Linked DNA regions of Mus musculus. The protein of the gene in region 1 purifies or fractionates together with the protein of each later gene. This does not show direct contact. Links are inferred from orthologs where the notes say so. Each region holds a gene or a part of one and is shown in the gene's direction. Other genes may lie near its edges.

What was found.
Region 2: the proteins of Med13 (region 1) and Med9 purify together in Homo sapiens (affinity purification with mass spectrometry; 6 studies listed by BioGRID and IntAct, with this or other methods). This does not show direct contact. The link is inferred for Mus musculus from reciprocal best matches to the Homo sapiens genes MED13 and MED9.

What each region holds. Positions count from the first base shown.
Region 1 is NC_000077.6:86,301,939-86,305,765, reverse strand, and holds part of Med13 (mediator of RNA polymerase II transcription subunit 13), read left to right. Parts: intron 1-1,322; exon of another isoform or gene 1,323-2,110; coding exon 2,111-2,232; exon of another isoform or gene 2,233-2,544; intron 2,545-3,827. UniProt on the Homo sapiens protein: Component of the Mediator complex, a coactivator involved in the regulated transcription of nearly all RNA polymerase II-dependent genes.
Region 2 is NC_000077.6:59,958,022-59,961,144, forward strand, and holds part of Med9 (mediator of RNA polymerase II transcription subunit 9), read left to right. Parts: intron 1-2,537; coding exon 2,538-2,754; 3' UTR 2,755-3,123.

The sequences.
Region 1 (3,827 bases):
GAAGAAGGTATCTAATTTTAAAAATTGATAGATAGATAAACATGATATAGCATATGTATATATATTTATGATGCATAGTTTGTTGCTTTCTGTGGATATTTTAGTGTGCTAATCAAGCTATTTAATACGTATCATTTCATATAAGTACTTTTTTTGGAATAAAAACACGAAGATTGGTTTTTTTTGTTATTACCAGACATTAAGCATACTATAAACGTTAGTATGTATCATTTACATTAAGCTTTTGAATAGGCACAGTTTATCTTTTGGTATGTGTTTTTGAAGGCAATATTTTGTTTTAATATTTTGAGAATAAAGAAATGAAAATAAGGAAAAAATTATGTAAAGAAGGAGCAGGTAGTCTTTCATAAGGCAGCTTAGTGGCTCTAAGTATTGGTGGGTGACATCTTAGATTCTTTGATGAAGGGGTCTTTATCAAATTTCTAGTGGCATGTTGCACAGAGATGAAGTAAAAAAAAAAAAAATCCTGGACTTTGTATTGAGGCTCAAAAGAATTTGGTACTGAGTAAACTCACCAAGGTGCTGAGCCAGGATTTTGGTATATGGCTGTAGTCACAGCACTCAGGAGTTGACAGAGGAGTTCATGAGTCTGAGATTAGTTGGTGCACACAGTAAGTGTCTTACTACCCCTCTCCTCAATAAAAAGTTGATTTTCAGCCATGTGATGGCACACACCTTTAATCTTTCGCAGCATCTGGGAAGCAGAGGCAGGCTCTTGAGTTCAAAGTCAGCCTGGTCTACAGAGTGAGTCTCAGGACAGCTGGGGCCACACAAAGAATCCTTGTCCCCTCCCCCATTGGTTTATTATATTGTTTGACTTCAAAATATACTCTACAGCTAATAGTAGTATAGCACTGGCATTAAGGAAAAAGGTCAAAGGCATAGGCCAGTAAAACAGGGGAGGGGCTAGACGTAAAGTAAACATGTAATGATAGTATAGTATGTTTTACTACATGTATCCCATATAAATTAGCCAAATCGGGGTATTTTGTACTTAGTTTATTAGGAGCCTTAAAGCCCCTCTTACCTAGTTTTTTTTTTTTTTAATTATTATATCATTATAGGTCAAAATTCTGAAGTACAATCACTCCTCTATGCTATAAGCAATAGAACCTATTCCTTCTATCCAATTCTATTTTGGTATCTATTTTGTATCCTCTATTTTCTCTCCTCTATTCTTCTCAACCACTAAGAGTTATACACACACACACACACACACACACACACACACATACACACACACACACACACACACACACAATAACGGAAAAAAACATACCAAGCCTTTAGACAAGTAGTGATACTCCATTATTATCTATAAATATTTCTTTTTTTTAACAGATACTTAACATGTATTCATCATACATAATTAGCTTGATATTCTGTGATTCTATCATCTTTATTACGATATTTACATGCAGCCTTATTTGCTTAAATAAATCCCATCTGTTTCAAAATGAAAAAGGCCTGGATAGATGGCTTAGCTTTTAAATTGTTTGCCGGACAAGCATGACAGTGCAAGTTGGGATCTTCAGTAGCCACATAAATGTCAGGCAAGTGTGATGGAGCCTGCCTGAAATTCTAGCATCGGAGAAGAGGAGCTAGGGAGTTCCCAGAGAAAGCTGGATAGCTGGACTCATTGAATCAGTGCGCTCTAGGTTCAAAGGAGAGACCATACTTAATGTATAAGTTAGGAAGCAACTAAGGCAGATGCCCCATGTCAACCTCTGGCTTCCACATTATGCATATAATGTGCGCAGGTACCTGTGAATCTGCATATATTCAATCACATCACATAACACACACAAAAAAGGAAAAGTATGTGTTTTTAAGTATCATTCTAATGGCATTTGTATTTTTATGACCTTTTCTACAGAGCTTAACTATGGTGTAGATTATGTAACTTTTGGAGCTTCCTCGGGAAGCTTTATTTATGAGAAAAGAATTTCAGATTTTAAATTAGTGACTAGAATAATCGTGTTGCATAGTTGTTGTGAACATTAGGTTTTCTCTCTTGTTTAGTTAAACAGAATACTACTTGGCTAATAGTTGAGTTTTCAGTTTATTTTTTTCTGATTGTCACATGTAGATGCTCCACGCCCTACAAATCATGCCCGTCCTCCATCAACCAGTTTGATTTATGACTCAGATTTGGCTGTGTCTTACACTGACCTTGATAACCTCTTCAATTCTGATGAAGATGAATTAACAGTAAGTATCCTACTAATGATTAGGATTAAGTTAAATTTCATTGATTTCATAACAGTTTGAGTTTTGGAAGTGATTTATGACTTTATTACTATGTTTTAGCTCTGAACAGTAGGAAATATTTTATAATAAAACACATTTGATTGATTTTTACTCTCATGTTAAAGTCACCTTGACATGGTTTCCTGTAAATCTTGATGTGGGTATGTTTGAAAGATAGATGATCAAGTTTCATAGTTCTACCATGTAATTTTTTTTTCTTCAGTCTTTAGAATGATTTTTCTGTTCTTTGATCCTGTAGTTTGAGAGGTGACTCTGGAATTGAATTAGAGAATGTTTAAGTAATTAACATTAGGACTTTATACCTTACCAATTTCATAAAAATGCTAGTTCTTAGCCGGGCGTGGTGGTGCACACCTTTAATCCCAGCACTCGGGAGGCAGAGGCAGGTGGATTTCTGAGTTTGAAGCCAGCCTGGTCTACAAAGTGAGTTCCAGGACAGCCAGGGCTACACAGAGAAACCCTGTCTCAAAAAACCAAAAAACCAAAAATGCTAGTTTTTCTCAAATTATTTGACCTTACTTCTGTTACTACGAGACATAGTCTTGAAAATGGTAAAGGAGAAACCAGAAAATACTACTTCATCGTTCACACCTGTTTTCAGAGAAAGTTGAAGATAAAAGTAAACACTTTAGGGCTGGCAAGATGGCTCAGTGGGTAAGAGCACTGACTGCTCTTCTGAGGGTCCTGAATTCAAATCCCAGCAACCACATAGTGGCTCACAACCATCCTTAATGAGATCTGATGCCCTCTTCTGGTGTGTCTAAAGACAGCTACAGTGTATAATACTGTATACGTATAATAAATAAATAAATAAATCTTTTTTTTAAAAAGTAAACACTTTAAATGATTTCCTAGAATGTCAGTCGTCTAGCAGTTAATTGGGTGCTACAGTGTCATGAAAGGGAGTCCTTTCCCATCTACTTAAAAGTAGTTTAGGACCTGACTGGCATATTTGGTGTTTGTTGTCTTATATAATATATCCTGTGAGGATATCTATTGCACATGTTTGAACATATGAAATCTATTACAGATATTGGTAAGTCAGATATAGCTCTATGTGAACATTCACTCTTTACCCTCCAGTGTAGTGTGTACTAGGGCACGCTTCACTAGGAAAAGAACTTTGAATATGGTCCATATAGACAGATCTTGTCTCTACTAACACCCAGACAGCAGCTGTGGCTTTTTGGAGGTAAAAAATTTGTCATGTGTGTGCTTTACTTACAAAGTGTTCAACATAAGACGTGGAACAAACGTTCCTTCTAAAAACATTGGTAAGAGCTGGATATGGTTGCACATGCCTTTAAACCCCGGTCTTGGGATAGGAGGCCAAAGTGTTGGGAGTTCAAACTCAGCTTTGTCTACATAAAAACAAGAAGCCTACTTAGGTTATATAAGGCTTTACCTATCTCAAAAAACAAACAATCCAATCCACCAAAAAATGTTGGTGGTGAGAGATGCTAAAACTTGGTTTGTTAGGAAGTTTCCCTGAACTTATGCTCAGTATTAGATCTGTAAAAATATTTTTGCTAGAA
Region 2 (3,123 bases), about 26 Mb from region 1:
GTCCGTGTGCCTAGCTCAGAGGGCATTCTGGCAGTTTCTATCAAAAATGTAAATAAACTCTTTAATCCCGATTTCTCCTGGAATGACATCTTTCCAGAGCCCTTGCACAGTTATGTAAAGGTGCGTGTGTACAGTGCCCACTGTCATTTTGATGAATTGCAAACACTCCAGATAATTGTTTGTAAATAACTTCACAATGTAATCAAATGCATAGTAATGTGGAAAGACAAGAATGAGAGCCACATTTGATATACTGTCAGAATAACAAAAGTATACATATGGTTGTCTGAAATTGCACGTTTTGAAATGCTCTACTACAGTTTACATCTTATGCTAACACAGGTGTCTCTGAGACTTGGAACTAAAAGGACTTCCCTTTTCTATCACTTTGGATTTCTTCCTTCCAACATCTACTAAATAAGAGAAAAATTAATCTGGGGAAAGTGAAAGACAATGGACTCAGTAGTGGGGGCGAGGACTGAGGGTGCTAGCCCAGGGTGGTCAGCAGGGACAGATAGGTGCTTGCTTCTGTGGAGAGTGGACCTTTGATGGCCCCCAGATCAGGTTATCAGAGGTGAGGGGCGGGACTGGCCTGCTGGCCCATGTCTTCCCTTGCTTTTGCATTGCTGGAGGACACACTGCCCATTGTTGTCAGTTTGCTTCTATGCAAAAAAGAAATTGGGAAAAAACAGGGCATGTTCTTAGATGCTCTCATCTTTCCTAGGCTTTTATCCAAGAGCCTGGGACACATGTCCAAATGCCTATGCTAGCTGTGGGGAGGTGTTCTGCTCTTCCTGCCCCAAGACTATAGTACTTCTGCCCACTCTTTAAGAAAGCACAGCAGATGGGACCACGATGCTCTAACTTTGTCCTTGTTTGTATGACTCCCATCGATCCTGACCTAGTCTCTCGATTTCCCTTCTAAAGTTGGATGGTGACTAATGCTGAGCACAAAGGCAGGCCCATTTAGAGCTTTCTGCTTTTATTCCCTCACTATCAAGTCTGACCCTGTTCTTTAGACTTGGGGAGTTCACTGTTTCATAGTCATCCTGGCATAACAGGTTCCCTCTTAGTTTGAGCAGTTCCTGAATAGATGCTTTCCTCACCCCAGGACGTCTGTGCTATTTACCACTACCAACTAGGGCAGGTGAATGGCCTACTGCAGAGGTCTGCAGCCCAGCTCCCCTCCGGTGGCTTTCCCCTTGGGTTCTGTTTCTTGTCTGAAGGCTACCCCCTTCCCCCAAAGTTCACCCTGTAAGGAATGGGTATCTGGAGTTTGGAGAGTTTGAGAAGTGAGCGTCTGAAACATGGCCCACACTTTGCTTTCTGAATTAGAATTTCTTTGGGGCTGAGTTATTTTTACTACAGGAATTAATACTATAAACCTCCTTTCCTGTTTTAATTTTGTGGGTTGTTTGTTTTTCTTGTATCTTTCTAGCCTTGTGGTGTAAACCAGTTTTGTTAAAGTGTACTTTAAATTCTGACAGCAGATTAGTGGTGGCCCTCGGTGTCTGCACACTGAGCAGAACTGGTTCCAAAGCTCCTCTGCCTTCTGGCCTTGGGGCTGTGCCTTTGTTCCTAGGATTTGGTTCTTTCGCTTCAGTTTGATAGCAGGAATGGGGATCTCTGCCATGCCAGGGCTGTGAACGGATAGGAATGGTCTGCCTTCAAAATGACCTTGACCCAGAGGAAGGCATCTACAGAGCTGTGCTAGAGGAGAGCCTGTGTCTGCTGAGAGTGTTCCAGTCGCCTGGAGCTGGTTCACAATGTATAACTAGCTCTATAGGAGTTCATCTTTATGTTAACAGGCCTAAGCAAGCACCACAGCTCAGTGAAATGAAGGCCCTGCTAACTGGCAAAGCCTCCTGGTTGGCCTGCAGACGGCCCTGGTCAGGTGAAATGAGTGTTTGACCACGCCTGGTTTTCTTTGTTTTTGGAAGGGTCACCTGATGGTTGGTGATGGAGATGCGTTTAGCACAGCTGCACCTGCTTTCCAAGCACTCATCCTTTTGGCAGGTGGTGTTTTGGAAAGTTCCTGGGTTTGTGTGTGTGGTGTGTGCACACGGTTGAGTGGCAGGGGAAGCAGAGGCGGGCACTTGTGCCCAGCTTCATTACTCTTCCCAGTGTTGTCTTGCACAGAACCTGAGCCTTGCTGTTTCAGCTTCTGAAGTCTGCCTGTTTCTACATCCCCCATCCCACACAAGCCTGAGCTGGGTTTATAGGCATGTTCTTGAGCATAGTGTCCTATGTGTAGGGCCAGGTTGGTGAGACAGTTGTGATGAAGCCTACTTGGTCCCTGCCATCACAGAGTTAAAGTATTTGACTTGTCAAGTATGCTTTTATGAGCTTAAAGCTAAAGAACAAAATAAAACAAATAAAAGACCAATCCTTGTCTTCTGAGGTAGGCAACCTAGTTAGGGAACAGACATGTCTAACATCATTCTAAAAGGTATCAGAGGTGTAGAACAAGGAAGCCATTGTGGAGATGAGCTACACATGCTAATAACTGACTGCCTTCTCCTCCCCCTGTCGCCCAGCATGGACAAGGACAGCCCGGATCTCCACCAGGACCTGAACGCCCTCAAAACCAAGTTCCAGGAGCTGCGGAAGCTCATCGGCACCATGCCCGGCATCCACGTGAGCCCCGAGCAGCAGCAGCAGCAGCTCCACAGCCTCCGAGAGCAAGTGAGGACCAAGAACGAGCTGCTGCAGAAGTACAAGAGCCTCTGCATGTTTGAGATCCCCAAGGACTAGGCCAGCCCCCAGGAGAGCCGCCGCCAGACGGAAAGCATCACGCGGTGCTCCAGCTCCTTGGGAGCCCCGCTCAAAACTGGGAGGCCACATTCAGCTGGTGTGGGGCCTCAGTGCTATCTCAGCCCTGACCATGTCCCAGCAGATCTACAGGGCACAGAGGGAGAGGAAATAGCTGTTCCCTTCTTTCCCTCAGCTCCTCCCACTCCCGATAGCATCAGCATGGTATCAGGTACATACTGTTCCCATTAACAGCAGTTTCATGAAACATTTGCATAGAATTCACGGGGTAAATTAGGCCTGTACTCAGATGGCATGGATTTATTATAATTAAAGCAAGCTGTGAGAGTATGAACATTGTTTTGAAAGGCC